4 linked regions of the Drosophila melanogaster genome follow. The protein of the gene in region 1 interacts with the protein of each later gene in a pairwise test. Each region holds a gene or a part of one and is shown on either strand. Other genes may lie near its edges.

Region 1 (4,117 bases):
AGTCGCGAGCAGGTTGCCAAGGTGAAGCGACGGTATCCTATTCAGAAGACCCAGCACCTGCTGTATGTCTATGGCCTGACCGATGAGAAGCTACTGCGCCAAGTTGAGAACCCCACCGAGCTTATTCAGGCGCTCTACCACCATGAGCTGATCCTCAAGTCCAGCAAAGTGGATATTAACGCTCTGGTCGCAGAGATAGCCAAGCTGCACGACCTCTGCTTAGCCACCATCCAGTACCGCCTGCTACAGAAGTGGCTCGCTCTGACTATGGAGTCTGCGGGTGATGGTACCATTTTGGAGGAGACCTTCATGGAGGAGCAGAACTGGCCGGAGCAGGCCAACGGCGCAGAGTCCTCCAACAGCCAGGACGCCAGCGAGAACGTAAATAGAGCGTTTTACATACTTTCCAGTTGGCCAAAGGCGGAGGCAGTCAAGTTCCTTGTGGGTCTGATCTTCAAGGGCGGGTAAGGATTGGTACTTAAAAGTTAGCGAAAATAATTCATTGAATAAACCCTTCCACCAGTTCGGTAAACACCTCCACACAGCTGCAAATGTACGAGTGCTATTCCAAGCTAAACGATGGCAGCAACTCCTTTACCAACACGATTAGCCAACGCCAGTTCATCAGCATCAAGTGTGTGCACGAGCTCAAGGCTCTGGGCTACAAGTCGAACCTGGAGAAGTTCTCCGACGACCATTGCAACAAGATTGACATTCTGAAGATGATCTGGCAGCGTAATGCGCAGAATCCCCTTTCGCTGGAAGTCATGGCCAACATTTGCCTGGGCTTTGATATACACTTGCCGCAGATCTGGAACGGCATTCTGAAGCGCATGGTCATGTTCCATATGGTGCGCGAGCTGAACGCCTTGTTGGATGTACTCAGCTGCCGGCCGCATCTACTTCACCTGGATGGACTGGCCCAGGCCTGGGACTATGTGCTCTGCCATCCTCTGCAGAACGCAGTCGAGCTACGATCCTTTAAGCAGGAAGAGGTGCTCCACAAGACGCTGCTGCGCCTGCAGGGCTGTCCGGTGGTGCACGCCCTCAACCTGCTACAGTTCGCCCAGCTCTGCATCGTCGTCCATCGACCGCACATGGCCGCCTCTCTACTCAGCTTCTGCCAGAGCAGCGAGCAACGCCAAAAGATCAAAAAGGTATGCTCGAACCGCGCACTTTAACGAAATGCTCTATTGTCACTCTAACTCTTCTTGCAGATGATACATTCCCATCCGGTGGAGAACCTTCGGCAACAGATCTTGGATCTGGAAGATGCTGGTATTTTGCCGGTGGTGCTGAACTTTGCGCTCAAGGAACTAAATCTGTAAGCGTAGAGATTTGGATTTTACTATTCCCATAATTTTTTGTTTTATTGGTCGAATATCTGCGTTAAGTGCGTTCGGGTCAAGATACTTTTGTAAATATCAAGGTTTTATACCTGCAAATATAGTTTATACAAACGATGACTATTTTCTATTTTAATTTTAATATGTTATTTTATATACAGTAGCAATTAGTCAATATTCAAACAGTACAATCTCTTAATTTCATAATTTATGCATCACAAAACAATGTGTTAATTTGAGAAATTGTCTAGGGAACTTCGCTTCCCAGTTTAAAATTAACAACAATCGGGATGACGTCATACGTATGTATCACTTCTGTAAACAGTGGGCTCAAGTTGATGGAATACTGAAAATAATGAGATATATTAGGATTTTTTTTAAATGAAGACTTTGTTGTGTAAAGAACAGTCAGTCTCAAATCAATTTAATTAAAGTAAATGGGAAAAAATTAATATACTAAAGAATCGAACTTTTCGAAATTAGTTGGAGACGAATTTTCTCGAGCCCACTGTACCAGTCAGCTGTGGCCGCCAGCTGTTTTCTATTTGGGGTTAGATCAAAGACAGGTTACACTTTGTATGTAACTTGAAAAGCAAGGAGAAAGCTGCGAAACTAAGTTAAACCGAGATGATGCGTTCTTTGATAGGAGCACAAAAGTGCTGGGGCCTGATCCGCACCAGGAACTTTATGGAATTACCCACCAAACAGGTGCCAGCATCCTTCGCATTGTTCAAGTAAGAGCAAAAAATAAATGATGAGCTTACATGGTAAATGAGTACTTTCATCTCTAACAGGCGTCACTACTCACCGCCCACGCATATCAAGCAATCAGCGGTCGCCAATGAATCCGGAACCATGGCGGAGGGTAAGTGTTGTCTTGCCAGAGTCAAACCCATCGTAATCCCCGAACGTCTGCAGTCAAGCAGGGGATGATGAAGCGATTGGGGCTGGAGCCCGGTTACAACCCGCTGCCCAAATCCAGGGAGCAGCTGCTCAAGTACCAGCCGAAGCTGGAGGATCTGCCTCCAAGAGCTATGCAGGATTCCTTCACCTCGGCCATCATTCCTCTGAGCACGGACCGCAGTTTGCAGGACAAATATGTGACCTATCTGGGCAATGTGCGATTCGGGCGACTTCTGGAGGACATGGACTTGTTTGCTGGTATGAGGAACACATTTGCTGGAATCTTGGCGCACTTTCTCACTATCCGCTATTTCCAGCTTGGTGCTGTCATAAACACCTGGTTCTGCCCAATCTGCCGGAGGGAGTTCATCTGCCGTACACCTTTGTGACCATTCTGGTGGACCGCATCGATTTCACCAATGTCTTGGCTTCAGGCACCCAAGATATCCGTTTGTCTGGGCACGTTTCCTGGGTGGGAACCAGTTCAATTGAGGTGGTAGTGTGGCTGGAACAGATGGTTGGCGGGAGGTACCAAAAGTTAACCCGTGCCTTGTTCCTGATGGCAGCAAGAAACGCTAACAATACCGGAGCGGCTCCTGTGAACCCCTTACAGCCGGCCAACGAGGAAGAGAAAGTGATTCTGGCTGGCGGCGCAGATAGAAAGAAGAAACGTCAGATTCTCTGTGCTCAGTCCATCTTTAAGGTGGAACCCAATGACCCGGAGCAGACAATTATGTACGAGCTGTACAAAAGGACAACTCCCACCAACACTTTGGAACTCAACAAGCGCATCCTGCCACCAAACTGTCGCTGGATGGAGGACTCTTTCCAGATGAGCACTATTCCCTCATTTCCGGAGCACAGGAACCACCACAACCGGGTCTTCGGAGGCTTCCTCATGCGAAGTGCCCTGGAGATAAGCTGGGCAGCAGCCTACCTCTACTGCAAAACGCGACCCAAGCTGGAGCACATATCCGACATCAGCTTCGAGAAGCCCGTCAGCGTGAACAGCTTCATCAAGATGACCGCCTATGTGGTGTACACCAAGGAGAACTACGTGCAGATCATGACCGTTGCAGATGTGATGGACCCACAAACGGGCAGCCAGGTGACCACCAACACGTTCTACTACACCTTCTCGTCTCCGGACACGGTTACCGAGGTGCTGCCCCGCTCCTACCACGAAACCATGTGGTACATCCAAGGTCGTCGAAAGTTCGAGGCCAGCATGGGCCCAGTGTAGACATGGTTCAGCCTGTGATTGTTACTCAAGATATTATGCAAGGCTATCCTACCAGATAAATGCAATTACCAGTTCAGTGTTTACAAAAAGCAATAAATGTCTGTTGTTTAATGATGTGCTTAACCAACCAGCTTAAAACTTTTAAAATCTTCTATTAAACCCTATCGAAGAGTACTAGATTAAATGTTTATTAATATAATAACTGTCAAAATAATCCCTAATTTTTGCCGACTTTACATTTTTTGGATACCCATTACCTGTAATCAAAAAAGCAGAGCTGAAGCAAAATTTATAGTTTTAATTTCGTGTCGGATCTGAGTTCAGATCTCGATCCCGATCCGTTTCCATGGGGCCTGGTCTTAGAAATGTTAAATTATGTGTTGTACCTTTTTTGCTCGGAGCCCGCAGCTGCCGGAGCTTGTTAAAGGCCAGGACCCTCAGGAAGATGACACATAAAAATTCCAGGTGAAGCACCAACACAACTAGCAGAAATCAGATTTTATAGGCCACATTTCTTCTAGCTCTAATGGGCGTAACTCCTCTGCGGACGGTCAATACGCCACTATGACGGAGAGTAAGTACTTCCATTCCAGAAATAGGTGCTACTTGTCCAGATATCCCTTTT
Region 2 (5,327 bases), on another chromosome or scaffold:
TTTACGTGCCGTATACGTGATTTATTCGCGAATAGAACGCGGCGAGACACAGGCATTTGCATAATGGAGATGATTTGGTGAAGAAGAGGGTTTGGGGAGCCGCCAGAAACCACAATTATGCAATTTCCTGGCCGTCTCTAAGCACTTAATTATGGTTATTAAAAATTTGGCAAATAGTTTCTTCGCCTTTGTGCGCCCGATCATTTGCACATAGTTAGCTTGAAGCCAGACGCATGTGAAACATCGGAATTGGCCATATCATTATGGTTAAAATAAATTGTATATTTACATACATACATACATATATGCATGTTCGGATGTGGCGTGCCAGCTCTTAGCCAGATTTGCAAATCGGCAACGAGTTGAACGAACGATGGTAGCAATATTTTGACCATCATCATCATTCAAGAGATGACAAACTGCTAAATATTGAAGCAAAAACGTGGAAAAAATAAAAGAAGTGAAGAGAAAGGCAGCCATATGAACCACATTGAATGATTAACACTCTTTAATAGCATTAATGTCTTCATTTGTTTAATTTACTAATTGATTTCGCCAAACAAAACGCTGTATTTTAATGCTTATTGGCTAGTAACCAGAATAACTTGGCTTTGGCTTGGCCAGTAAGTAATAAAAGCCAACAAATGGTAAATAATAGATGGTGGTATCATATCGGACAGTGAATAAGGTCAGTTATAGTTTATTCAGTAGGGGTTTTAGTAAGCGATCAAACTAGTACCCAAAATGAATTAATAAAGGCAAGATAGCAAAGGAAAGAGGTTAGTATTTGCTGGTCAAACCGCCCGTTTTGAGGTCAAACCAAACCCCCTTGAGGGAGTTGGGGTAAATAGTTTTGCTTGCACTTAAACGAAATCAATGCGATTAAAATCGACTTGGCCCAGTCTTGCGGACGGCCAACTGAACTAGCCTTATCAACCATCGAGAATCGGTGTCAGCTAATCGAGCACCCACAACTACAACAACAAACCGCTGTCCCCAATAGTGGAGCACCACTTGGTCATTCCGACCACGTCGCATGGAAATGGAAAACGAGACGAAAACAGAAATGGAAACGGAAAACAAACCTAGAAGCCGAAACCAAAACAGAATAAGAAGCAGCGCCACTCCAAACATGGTCAACGAAATTTGTTTTGTGTTTTGTCACTTTCTCAGCCCAGAACCAAAGAAACACAAACGCGTCATATGGGTGCGCCCTTCAGAAAAATGTGCACAATAATGGGCAAAAGTGTACATGGCTTATAAAGTATTATTCTTACAAATACTGTGACTATAAATCGGATTTAATAACAACTAATCAATTCAATGGACAACTCAGCATTTGCATTATATTAAACCTCTAATGTGAACGCGCTTATGATATTCAAAGTTCAAAGTGTTATTTAGTCAAATAAGGTAATATGTCTGCTAGTAATTTGCCCCCTGCTGTAGTAACTATGTACGTCATTTGCAGGGGTTCTGAACCCAACCCATAGCAGTGGTTCACGTTACACTCGAGCACGTTCTTATCGCAATTAATTGCAGCGCATTGCATAAGCATCGCAAACTTATAGGGTGATACCAAAACGTAAACATAATCTCTGACTCAGCCCAGTGGGTAGCAATTATTAATTATAATTAATAAGCCAAAAGCCAAGGCAAGTCTTGCTTTGATTGGCCAAAAACGCAGCCAGAAGCGGAAAACAAAAACTGAGTCGAATTACACCACAGTTCAAGGGATACAAAAGGGAGTGGGCTGGGGGTCGATATCTGGCTAAGATCGGTGAGCTTACCCAGCCGGATCGGCACTGGAGCGCATCTGAGTGTGTCCACGTCAGCGGGCATCCAAAACAGAGCAGAAATCTTGAGATCCGAGTAATCTAGATATTGTCCTTCAAGTCAGTATTGTGCCACTCAACTGATCAACTTAAGTAGCTTGGAAATTTACATCAAATTATGACAAGTTGTTAGAAAAGTAGTATATACATATTCCTTGGCACGGGCCTTAAAGTAATATACATTTCTTTCTTATAAAATGTTTAATTTTATTACTTGATTTACTTGCAGTTGCATCTGAAGTGCAAGAAGGAAACAAATTAAATATTCACTAGGGCGGAATACTAAGGAAAACTCAAGCCACACACTGAGGAAATCAAAGTAGGAACAACTAAAACTGTAAGTAGTAACGCAAGGAAAATAAGGGAAATTGGGAAAAGGGAAAACAAGCAACATCAACATCTGCAAATCATATGCAGAGCGTCACTCGCATATGGATATGAGATTTCAGATTTTCGTGACCATATCCGGTTGCCAGTCAGCAGTTGCAACTGCAATTGCAGCTTCCATCAAAACAATAGCAAAAACCAAAAGACGAAATGCGGAGCGAACTGAAAACGCAACTTGGGTCTTTTGGGGCCCAGGGAAATCGCATCTTGGCATTCGCCATTGTTGCTATGGGGATTTTTTTCTTTTTTGGCGGGGGGTGTACAATAAATATAGGGTGGAAGTTGCGTAAAACGATGATATGATATTCACACATAGATCGGGCGATAACATCAATAACTAAAGATGATGTGGAAATCAGAAGGTTCAAATGATGTGCCTATAAGGTTACATACATAAATAAATAGATAAATACATACTCTTACATACATACAAAGGTTGTTTTCTAGTCTAGCAAATGATGTTTTAAATAAGAGAAATGTATTTGTAAGAGTACATAACTTGTATCATAAATTAATAATATTATTAAGACTCAACAATGGTTTGGTCTAAAATAATCCACCATTTGATTCAGTGTTTTGAATCCAAATTAAGTTAAGTTTGTTTTTGTTTTGATTTATATCCAGTGTTGAATAAGCTTTTCATGTACTGTGTGTGTGTGTGTGTGTGTGCATATGTTTATGTTCATCTTATCTTGTTTATCTAGCATTGTATAATTAGGTTTAGATTTTGTTAGAATAAGTTTAGATACATCCAGTGCTGTATAATGTTCCAATAACTACATATTTATCTAGTATTGCATAATTCATTTTAGTGTTTAAATAAGTTTAGATAAATCCAGTATTGTTTAATTTGCTGATGAACTTAGCAGTGATTGGCCGAAAGTGGGAAACCTAACCTCATGTTCTAGAAAAAGAATCGCCAACAAATTTCAAGTAAGCAGTGCCTTCTGTCAACTCGAATGTCATTTGGAATTGCCTGAGCTCTATTCAGTTTCGTATACCTCCGGATTACACGTACTAACGTTTGAAAAAAAAAAAACTAAAATTCCAATCAAAATGCCACACAAAAAATTTCCCAGAATGTCACAGGCGCAACTCAAACGTTTGATCAAATCACAAAATCAGAACATAGCAAAGGCCGCGTGTATTTTGGAACCCCCAAAAATTATACAGCAGCCGTCGATGAGGCAGTCCATCATTCCACCGAATCCTGCTTATAGCAAGAAACAGGGCAAAAATGCGGCTCGCCCAAATTCCGAGCGAGCTGGAAAGGTGCCAATGCAGGGGCTGAACCACGTGGTGCCGGAGGACACTGTGAAACAGGTGAAGCAATAAGTATAGTGCAAAAAGCGGGCTTATCGCATAAAATAGTACTTTCAGCATAATCAATCTAAGCAGATGCAACGCAATCGAAGGAATCCATCGTCGAAGATGCAACAAAATGGCAATGAAGCATCCAAGCAGGAGAAGCCCAATCAGCACGAGGACAAGAGCCGTCCCAAGCAGTTGTATTCAAGCGTTGTGGCCAATAAGCAAGACGGGCCCACCGCAGTGAATGCTCCTCCACCCAAGGAGGGCTCATCTGTCAATCAAATTGGATCGTGTTGTCATCATGGCAATGTTTCGGGCGAAAAGCAGAAATGTCCGGATACCAGCTCATCATCCGCCACGTTCACTTGGCCCAGTCAATCGGTTAAAAGCCAGGGGTTTTTCGGAACTAGCGATTCTTCAGCTGACCCATTCAGCATGCAGAATCTGAAGAAGATTGCCCGGGATTTCTTCTCATATCCGGAGTTTCATCCACCGGAGGCCAGCGAAAACATTGCCGCTGCCAATGGCTCCAAGAAAGCTGAGCCCTCGAGGACGAAATCCCAGCCGGGTCTCAACTCTTCGCCGAGAGGCTCTGCCTTGGGTGCCGATAGGTCGGGCCATCCTCAATCGATTGCGGGTGGAACGAATTCTCGCCGGAAGGATTATCCATTGGAGGAGGCCTTCATGACCGTAATCCGCAATCTGCGCGAAAATTATCCGGGCAATGATTCGATTTCATCTTCAAATCGCCCGAATATCCAATTTGATAACTACCAATCGGCGCAAGGTTTCGGCTATGGTTCCAATTCCTATTACAACGCTCAATCGACATCCGCTTACGGCTATCCTCCGACTGGTTTTCCGATGTCCCAGCAGTCAGGCTTCATGCCAAAGTATAACCAAATGCCGACGGCTAATGGTTCAAATTTAAATCAACCGCCATTGATTAGCGAAACTTATCAGGCCGAAGCGCAGCAGCATCCTTGCTGGCCGGTATATATTCCGGAATATGTTTCGCATTTTATGTTCGGTGAGCCACAGGACGCCAATGCCAGCTGCTCTCGTAATTCAAACCACGGCAACAAGATGTAAAATAGAATCCGGAGGGAAATCGGAATAGTGTAGCATTTAAAAATCTATTCATCATTCAACACCATTCGAAAAAAATTGCTAATGTAATACACAGACCAATTCCGTAATCCTAATCATTTATTTTGCATCTATGTATTAATAAACATTTGTAATGTTACAAATATTTTCCATATATTTGTAAGCCAATTACACTTAACCATCTTTTGTAATGATGCAATCCGAAGATAAACAAAAAATGTATGCATCTCAACTACCTCAATTAGAATTTAAGTAAAATGTGTAATGATGATGATGTATAAAGAAATGCCATCAAATTTCACTTTCAACTCGGCGGAAGAAAGTGAAAAACATGCGAAAAAAGAAATTAATGAAAAAATCGAGCAGCTTACCAACAATTGAAATAAAGGAAAAAATCAACTAGTCAGCGTCGATTGTTTGGTGGTCAGTTGTTTGGTTTTCTACTATTACCAAACCAATGCCAACAAAAGAAATTTTTTTCTTTTTTCTTTTTTGGCCAAGTAAAATAAGAAATCAAATAAGATGAATCTTGCCTTATAAAATGTGAAATTTTCCTGCCATTATGATTAGAATTTGGGCTTAAGCTCATTATCTAATCAAAGATATTGATAACACCTGCGAAAAAGCAATTGAAGAAACTTACGATTGATTGATATACTTAATGTGATCGAATTTATTTATATG
Region 3 (5,449 bases), 2.5 Mb from region 1:
CTACCCAGTCGCGTCCTTCCTTGAATTCTGTGTAGATGTTATTGAGAAAAATAAGGAAAGTATTTCCATAAACTAATGATTTTGTGCACATTAGGATATAGGCAACTTACCATCATCCAGTCCCATTATGTACATGGTATCCAATGAGTCAACAATGGTTAGTCCCAGACCGAACCACTCGTGGGAGTACTGGGAGATGGGCTTCAGGTTGTCGTGGCCCCAGGCATACTTCTTGTAGCCAGCCCAGGAGTGCTTGAAGGCGGCTACAACAGCCGACTGTCTTTCGTTGGTGGCGCCATGGAAGTGCTGGCCCTTGGCCAGAATGGGCTTGATCTTTTTGAGATGCTCTTTGAAGCTAACGCCGCCCAGAGTGAGTGGGTTCTTGATGGCTTGCTCAAGCTGCTCGCCCTCGCTAAGCGGCTCTGCTGGATCCTGGGCGACGGGCTCCTCTACATTGTTTAGGATGTCGATTCCACCGATGTCCTGCTCCTTGTTACTATCGGGGGGAGGCAAGGCCACGGCCATGGCCGAGGCCTGGGGAAGTCCTTCAGCAGCCACCGTCTCCGGCAGACGGGCCACGTTCTCCGCTGAGTTCGCTTCTCCATAGGCAACTAGCTCATTAAACTGAAATTGATTGATATTGAGATATCATTAATAGATTTTACTGGAAGTGTGCTGCGTGGGCAATAAATCAAACACCAATAGTCAATCGTATTGATACGCATGCTATCTTAATAGGCAAACAACTCCAGCCACTTAGGCACTTATCAATTAAGTGGGGGGCCTACTTACCTTATCACTAACCGCCTCCACCCGGGGTGCTCTCTTATCGGCCGGAACAGGTACCGCAGCAGTGTCTTTGGGCACATCCTTATCCACCCCCGGATGATGGTGCGGATTGGGCAGGGGCATTTGATATGCTGCCACCTCGGCCTTGGTGTCCACATCCTTTAAGCTGGCAGCCAGCAGCTGATCGCCACTTAGGCAGAGCAACACTGTCACGCAGAATCCGGTGATGCCCAGAATAATGAGATTGCGCTGACAACGCGGTAGCTGATTCCAAGCCTGAACCGTGAGACAAAAGATCGTACTTATAAGTTCTGGGTTTCTTGAGGATGTCCCAGGACCCCAGCAACTGGACTTCTGCCAGGTTGCTACCTACCCGACGCAGGCTCTTCCTGCCCCGCTCGTCCGTCGTCGCCGCTGATCCCGGCGGGAGTGTGAGCGTTATGTGACCGCCGTCCTTCATAGTGTTTCACTAAATGCCGCCGCCGGAATTCAGAGTGTGGGAAAGTTGGATGGGAAATTCCACAGCATTCGCCTCGAATAAAAATCGATTGCTGTGCGCCGCTGGCCGCGGAGGAATCGGAGCTAACTAACCAAGGTTGGTCCAACTACTACCTCTTTTATGCCTTAATCATCTCTATACGTGCCAGTGCATTAATTTATATATGCTAGTTCTGGCCCACACTATGCAAAATTACAAATAAGAAATTCTAAAATTATTTCACGAGAGCTGCATTTTTGAGCTGCAATGCTGCCAACTTGTTCTTCAACAGTCCGGCCAAAACTAAAGATGGGGCTAGCAATCATTTACTTTTGAAATACCTCTTAAATAAAAAAAAAGCAAATTAAATTATATTTTAGATATTATCACTACTTTATAAAAGAATTTTTCTAAAGAATATATATTAATACGAAGTGGCTAATTTTTTCGAAAATCCAGCTAACACAGTATGAATTTAGCCAAATCTAGAGTGGCCAACACTAGTCCCACTTAACAGTGATTTATTTGGCAGCCCTGGTAAGCTCCAAGTGTGCCCACAATACGGCATTAAAGTGGTCACATCTGGTCACATCCCATTTTCACATCAAAATTTCGACGGAAGTCGGTGCGTAAACCCATAGCCCATTTTTAGTTAGATAATAGCACTTAAAACCCAAAAAATAACACCTACAGCCGGCAACGATAGCGATAGACCCATAGGAAAGCGAACCGCAAACCGACGATGCTCCGAACCCGACTCATCCAGGCGGCCAGCTCCGCCCAGCGAGCGTTCTCCACCAGCCAGAAGGCCCTGGCGGCCAAGCAGATGACCGTGCGAGATGCCCTCAACAGCGCATTGGACGATGAGCTGGCCCGCGACGACCGCGTCTTCATCCTGGGCGAGGAGGTGGCCCAGTACGACGGTGCTTACAAGGTGAGATCTGCGACTTTTCCTGCCCCTGCGCGATTACGTAAACAGCAAGCAGGCGGTTGCGACGACGACAGCTGATGCAGGTGGCCGGGATGGGGGAAGTTGGTGGTCAGCGGGGTGATATATGCGTGCTATATGTAACTACTGATAGTGATTCCGAACAGGTCGACGCGAATCCGAATGCGTGATCGGAGTGGGCAAGGTCACGCAGAATATGTGTGACCGACTGTCTGCTGATTATATAGATTGGCCCATAAAACAACGATTTGTTTACCCATTTGAGGTGGATTGATAACCGGCGTTAGCAATTCTATCCTATTAGATTCATTTAAACTATGATTGTGGCTACTGGTGTAACAACTAGATAGGACACGCAAAGTACAATACAATTACCTGTTAGAATAATGGTATTTCCTGAAGAAATCTTAGTTAATGAGTTATCAGCTTGGAAAGTTTTACAAACAGATAAAAGGTTCCCATCCTGAATAAGCCCTACATATTTTTCTGGTATCCTAACATTCTATTAATCATTTAATGCCCTTTTTAGGTTTCCCGTGGACTGTGGAAGAAGTACGGCGACAAGCGCGTCATCGACACGCCAATCACAGAGATGGGCTTTGCCGGCATCGCTGTTGGCGCTGCCATGGCCGGTCTGCGTCCCGTGTGCGAGTTCATGACCTGGAACTTCTCCATGCAGGCCATCGATCACGTGAGTTGCCTCATCCTTGTCCTAAGAACCACTCCCCGCACTCCAGCAGTAGGCTAACTACTCATATTATCTCATTGCCAACAAAACGTAAACCAAAAGAAAGAACACGACAATCCAATACAAATGCCTCACAACTCCAACAGCTAGCAAATAGACCAATTCAAGTGCAATATGCAGCGGCGCTTAATGGGATAATATGGGTGGATTAGCTCCTGCCCCAAGTCATAGATCGGACCTCACTAATCCCCACCCATATTATCCGATTATGTGCAGGCAAAGATACTCGATTGCGCCAAGCCGCCAGTCGGTGATCGCCCTCTGCCAATAAGCCTCATAATTGAAAGTCCACGCTCAACTTGGCTGAATGAGATCAACGACATCCTGCACAGAGATCGAGTCGGCGAGGTGATTGCGCCGCCGCTGGACAAGAGCAAGTCGGACAAGATGGAGGCGGCCCGCCTCATCGTCATTCGGCGGCGCAAGATGAAGAAGCACAAGCTAAAGAAGCTGCGTCGCAAGATGAAGTTCGAGTGGGCCAAGGTGCGCCAGCGCCGCGAGATGCGCAAAGAGAAGGCCTTCCAAGCAAAGCTGATATCCCAGATCAAGCAGGCGGAGGCATTCAGTGCGGAGCAGCACGTGGCGGAGATCCTGCGGCAGGCCAACGAGACGCCGCTGCCGCGTTTCTGGAAGGGACGCCGCCTGCCGGCATTTATCATTAAGCAGAAACTAGGCATTAAGTAAAGATCAAGACGGAACAGAAAGGAGTGCATCAAATAAAGCGTATTAACTTGAATTGGCGAATTTGCAGTTTGATGGAACAGGCATCCACACTGAGCATTATTTTCATTCATTTTTCACTTTATTATTTCTAAGTCATATTACACATTCATAATAATATGGATTGCTAAAATATATCCCTTTAAAATTTCAAATCTTAGATCATCAACTCGGCGGCCAAGACCTTCTACATGTCTGCCGGTGCCGTCAATGTGCCCATTGTGTTCCGTGGTCCCAATGGAGCCGCTTCCGGTGTTGCCGCCCAGCACTCTCAGTGCTTCGCCGCCTGGTACGCCCACTGCCCCGGCCTGAAGGTCCTTTCGCCATACGATGCCGAGGATGCCCGCGGACTGTTGAAGTCCGCAATCCGTGATCCCGATCCAGTGGTCTTCCTGGAGAATGAGCTGGTCTATGGCACGGCATTCCCTGTGGCCGATAACGTGGCCGACAAGGACTTCTTGGTGCCCATCGGCAAGGCCAAGGTAATGCGGCCGGGCAAGGACATTACCCTGGTGGCGCATTCCAAGGCGGTGGAGACATCGCTTCTGGCAGCTGCCGAGCTGGCCAAGAAGGGTACGGCACTGTTTTACTTTGAATGACGCGAAAAGTAGCTAACCTTCTCTTATATGTTTAGGTATTGAGGCTGAGGTCATTAACCTGCGCTCCATTCGTCCTCTGGACACGGCGACCATCTTCGCCTCTGTACGAAAGACCCACCATCTGGTGACCGTGGAGAACGGCTGGCCCCAACACGGTGAGTGGGAAATTCAGCTAATTGAAAGCCTAGCGATATTTATAAATTTTTACCCTCTTAGGCGTTGGAGCTGAGATCTGCGCCCGCATAATGGAGGACCAGACCTTCTTCGAGCTGGACGCCCCCGTATGGCGCTGCGCCGGCGTGGATGTGCCCATGCCCTATGCCAAGACGCTGGAGGCCCACGCCCTGCCCCGCGTTCAGGATCTCGTGGAGGCGACTCTTAAGGTCTTGGGTGGCAAAGTGGGCAAGGCCGCTGCGGCCAACAAGTAGGAACTCAGGACTAGCCAGCCTCCCGATCGGAACCCCCAGCTAACTAAATTTATAGTCCAAGTCGAAACGCTGCCTCTGGTCTAACCGAGCTGCCCCCATAATAGTGCACCGAACTGGAAATTGAATGTTCTGAAAATAAAGCACTACCGCTTTCGGGTTTTGATTAGTTTTCGGACGTTCTAGTTTAATTATTTGGTTATAGAAATCTCTTGTGAAAAATAAACGAAAACATAAATACATTTTGAGTGCTTATATTTTGGTATAGTTAATGATATAATATCAGAAGATAAAAAATATATAATTCTTATCGTTAATGATTGAAGTTTAAAAAGTGCGCGCACCGATGAAAACGTTTTCCTATTGAACGCTGTCCAACACTGACGACATCTATTTTTTCGATATCAGCCTATCGTTTAGCAATAGGTGTCCTCATATCGATAGCGATAATAGCAAAGTTAACAATAACAAAAGATATAACATAACAAATAATTGCAATGCTTTGGCTGTAATGGCAAACAGCTCCAGCTCCGACGAAAGCTGCAAGGCCCCCGACAACTTTCGCATCTCGAGCGCCTCCACAAACGGCGAGGACGAGGAATCAGATGTCGCAGGATACACAACAAAGCGCAGGCCAACGGCAGCGACGAAGGAACTGTTGAAGGATGCGAACGCCAAGGATAGGAACGCCACCACGGGAATGGGTGCCCACATGCGGTGCCCACTGTGCCACAGCTGCAG
Region 4 (3,678 bases), on another chromosome or scaffold:
AACTGCCTGAAGAAGTGGGGATTCCGGAGGTGCGAAGACATATGTTGGATACGGACCAACATTAACAAGCCCGGGCACTCCAAGCAACTTGAACCGAAAGCGGTCTTTCAACGCACCAAGGAACACTGCCTGATGGGAATCAAAGGAACTGTTCGCCGCTCCACTGATGGCGATTTTATCCATGCCAACGTGGACATTGATTTAATCATCTCAGAGGAAGAGGAGTTTGGCAGCTTCGAGAAGCCCATCGAGATCTTTCACATCATCGAACATTTCTGCTTGGGTCGACGGCGTTTGCATCTGTTCGGCAGAGATTCGAGTATTCGACCAGGTTGGCTAACTGTTGGTCCGGAACTGACGAACTCGAACTTCAACTCCGAGCTATACCAGACCTACTTTGCTGAGGCTCCAGCCACCGGTTGCACTAGTAGGATTGAACTACTGAGGCCCAAGAGTCCGCCGCCGAATAGCAAAGTTTTAAGAGGAAGAGGACGCGGCTTTCCACGTGGTCGTGGAAGGCCCAGATAACAGCATTTTTACTCAACAACTGCGTGTATTCTAGTGTCTAAGATCAAAAGTTTTTAAGGCTAAGAATAAGATTAACATTAAAGTCTATTGCTGCAGAATGCTGAGTATCCTATCGATTTCCAGGGTTTTCTTTGGATGCCGAGCGACCAGCAGCTTTCATTTATTATCCGTGACTATTCTGGAGACTGTGATGATTGCTTAGATGCCTCATGTAGATATCCAAGTCATCTTCGCTAGATATAGCATTCTCATCCGCAGCATGCTCCTCCAATTCCTCCTCGTCCTCGCTATCCTCAAAGTAGGCATCTTCTTCATCCTGCTCAATTTGCTTCAGATCATCCAGCAAAGTGTTATCATCTACGGCCTTATAATCAAAATCCTTGTCTTCGCCACTAAGAAAGCGTTCCTTCATCATACTCAAGAACTCATTGCGTAGTAGTTCTCGCTCTCCAGGATTATAGAACTCCGGTGTGGAGATCATAGTTGTATTCATTGGAGCTCGGACTTCCGCATTTCGACTCGTTGAACAGGCCACTGGTTCATCATCTTCAAATCCACCCCACTGCTTTCGGCAAGCGACAGGAACGTCACAGTCTGCCTGAGGATTGGATTCACTTGTGACCTGCACGCTCTGCTTTCCTTCCTGCTGCGTTTCCTCTAGTAATTCATCTCTTTGCTTTTTCTCCAACGTATGCATTAGTATTCCTGAGAAGCTAGTATTCCGAACATCGTAACTATCCCGAGCCTTCTTTTCCGCCTCCGTTAGGTACTGACCCACTAGCTCCTGGTAGAGATCCGGCGCCCTTTGCATCATCTCGTGTTCGCTAAAGTATTCTCCCTTGTCAAGGAGCTGCTGCATGGCATGGTATCTTCGGTTTTTAATGGATACCGCACGAGTGTTGAGTTTCCTCCTAAAATCCTCTAGCAGCAGGCACATCTCCTCCAGATTTTCATCTGCTTTAATGGGTTCCTTGACAGCCAGTTCCTGGAAGGAACCCAGTTGTCTTACATTCAGGAAGCCTCCAAATCGGATGAGAAAGTTCTCACGGTTCTTATCGAAGGCATCTCGTGCTATTTGTTGCTTCTCTTCGACCGGAATTTCCGGATCATCAATTTGCTGCGACTTAAAGACGATTTGATTGTTTTCGGCCAAGGATTTGAAGATGTCTATTATCTCCGGAGGATGTTCTGGATTTGGGACGATGTCATTGTTGCCCTGGTGGTCACCATCCCCGTCAGCATCGCTTCCAGTTGTCATAATTGTTTACACAAATTGCACAAAGTGTGAAATAGAAACGTAAACAAATGCTTCTTCTTTCTTAGCCAATGTCATTTACATAGAGTTGCCAGAGTAATTAAATTTTTCGATAAAAAATTAGCGATTGTGAAAATAAACCAAGTTCTCTGTCTGAAAAAAAAATTACGATCTTTGAAAATATGTATTATGCATAATACAATGAAAATATTTCCATTCAAAAAAAAAGACGAAAAGGAAACCGTTCAACGATTTTGATAGTTGGCAACCCTGCGGCTCCACATAGCGGCTGTATTTTCATTACGAACTTTATCTGAGGTCCAATTGTTGTGTTTATCGCTTTGTTTAACGCCACTCGGTGGTTCAGTGGTGCAAATATGCAGGCAGCGATGACTAACTGAGCAAGTTTAGCGGAAGACCAAAGAATCCATCAAAGATTTCGATCGAGATGTCATCTGTGGTGGACTGGGGCGACTTTGCCTGGAACTGGACGCAGTTCTGTCCGACGGGATTGAAACCGTTCGCCAACGAGACCAACGATCTGCTGCCTTGCTTTCAGGAGATCCTGCTCCAGCTGCCCGTATACACGCTCTTCGCCGCCATATCCGCCTACAATTTCGGCAATCAGTCACGACATGTCGTACGTAATGGATTGCAATTGCGTATGCTTTCGATTCGTACCTTCCTGGCCATGGTACTGGCCCTGCTACCGGTGGCCAAGGTGTTCGCCTTCCATCAGCAGGGCGTTGAACTGTTTGCGGCGGATCTGCTGGTTGTCAGTGCCGAATGCATTATGTGGGTGGTTCACAGCGGTGAGTGTGCGGTTTTCCTTTCTCCGGGGGTTTACATCTCGATTCAATATCTTAGGTGCATATGCGGGTTTCCCTTTTAGGGGCTGCGATTGTATATCCGACTTTCTTTTTATCAAATACAAATATGTAATTAGTCCTTATCAGTTTAATGCTTAACACATTTTAACTTGGCACATTTATTTGCTTTTTGAAATGAATTGCCATTTTATCCGCAAAACAAACGTAGTTCTTTCTTTTCATATATCTAGATTTATTCAGGCAATTACAACTTCCTTTGTTTCACTTCCTAACTTTACAAATATATGGCGTTTTATGTTGTCTGTTAAATAGAAGCATACATAAATTTCTGAGAAAAGCAGAGAAGTAGTATTCTGCAATAAAATGATAAGTCTACAAACAATAATTTATGACCCCTTTGCTAATCAGTTTTCCTATTCCTCCCCCACTCACAGGTTTCCTACTGACAGCCCGTCAATATGGAGAGCTTAGTCATCGGGGATCGCTGCTAATCAATGTCGTTTGGCTCACAGTAGTCGTTTTGGATGCAGTCTGGCTGCGGACAAGTCGACACTTTAGCTGGTGGCCCTGGAGCTTGGCCACGTTGGTCTGCGATCTTCTGTTTGGAGTCACCTTAATACCAAAAGGAAGTGCTGTTTACTCCAGTTTGCCCAGATCAGGAGTTTCTGCCAGAGAGGATGAGGGCCTGCTATCCCAGCGATATACATATTTTCAATTCGATCTGAATGAGAGCCATTTGGGTCATGCCCAGGACGAAGCCAATTTGGGATCGCGTTTCCTCTTCCACTGGGTTCAGCCCCTAATCTTGAAAGGAGTGGCTGGAAAGCTGAGAAAGATTGAGGATCTGTTCGATCTCCCCGATGCCCTGAACATCACACGACTGAGCGAGAAGTTGCACTTGGCTCTATCGCAATCGCAAAGTTTATGGAGAGCCCTGCATAGATGCTTTGGTGTGGAGTTTTACCTTATTGGTATCCTTCGATTGATCGCCGACTTGAGTGGCTTTGCTGGACCTCTACTGCTCGGAGGACTTCTCCGACAGGATCACGCAGATCCTAATCAAGT

What was found.
Region 2: the proteins of CG1635 (region 1) and CG12992 interact in a two-hybrid assay, tested with the Drosophila melanogaster proteins (one large-scale study listed by BioGRID).
Region 3: the proteins of CG1635 (region 1) and Pdhb interact in a two-hybrid assay, tested with the Drosophila melanogaster proteins (one large-scale study listed by BioGRID).
Region 4: the proteins of CG1635 (region 1) and CG7810 interact in a two-hybrid assay, tested with the Drosophila melanogaster proteins (one large-scale study listed by BioGRID).

Annotation. Positions count from the first base shown.
Region 1 is NT_033777.3:31,586,780-31,590,896, forward strand, and holds CG1635 (uncharacterized protein), read left to right. Parts: upstream 1-1,893; 5' UTR 1,894-1,973; coding exon 1,974-2,080; intron 2,081-2,140; coding exon 2,141-2,211; exon of another isoform or gene 2,212-2,264; coding exon 2,265-2,507; exon of another isoform or gene 2,508-2,566; coding exon 2,567-3,492; 3' UTR 3,493-3,613; downstream 3,614-4,117. Other genes in the region: rod (rough deal), read left to right, coding at 1-464, 524-1,157, 1,218-1,328; CG1638 (uncharacterized protein), read left to right, coding at 3,839-3,957, 4,014-4,066.
Region 2 is NC_004354.4:17,586,924-17,592,250, forward strand, and holds CG12992 (uncharacterized protein), read left to right. Parts: upstream 1-1,941; 5' UTR 1,942-2,007; intron 2,008-2,064; 5' UTR 2,065-2,172; intron 2,173-3,034; exon of another isoform or gene 3,035-3,091; 5' UTR 3,092-3,278; coding exon 3,279-3,545; intron 3,546-3,593; coding exon 3,594-4,625; 3' UTR 4,626-4,783; downstream 4,784-5,327.
Region 3 is NT_033777.3:29,111,249-29,116,697, forward strand, and holds Pdhb (pyruvate dehydrogenase E1 beta subunit), read left to right. Parts: upstream 1-1,822; 5' UTR 1,823-1,892; exon of another isoform or gene 1,893-1,960; 5' UTR 1,961-2,009; coding exon 2,010-2,201; intron 2,202-2,745; coding exon 2,746-2,907; intron 2,908-3,180; coding exon of another isoform or gene 3,181-3,648; exon of another isoform or gene 3,649-3,698; intron 3,699-3,845; coding exon 3,846-4,257; intron 4,258-4,318; coding exon 4,319-4,438; intron 4,439-4,499; coding exon 4,500-4,711; 3' UTR 4,712-4,949; downstream 4,950-5,449. Other genes in the region: alpha-Man-Ib (alpha-Mannosidase class I b), read right to left, coding at 1-27, 111-624, 793-1,065, 1,163-1,249; Atg14 (Autophagy-related 14), read left to right, coding at 5,220-5,449. UniProt on the Drosophila melanogaster protein: The pyruvate dehydrogenase complex catalyzes the overall conversion of pyruvate to acetyl-CoA and CO(2). Might play a role in regulating synapse structure formation at neuromuscular junctions. Might play a role in maintenance of mitochondrial morphology.
Region 4 is NT_033779.5:8,309,338-8,313,015, forward strand, and holds CG7810 (uncharacterized protein), read right to left. Parts: upstream 1,859-3,678; 5' UTR 1,787-1,858; coding exon 692-1,786; 3' UTR 539-691; downstream 1-538. Other genes in the region: Mettl14 (methyltransferase like 14), read left to right, coding at 1-528; CG7806 (uncharacterized protein), read left to right, coding at 2,232-2,595, 3,048-3,678.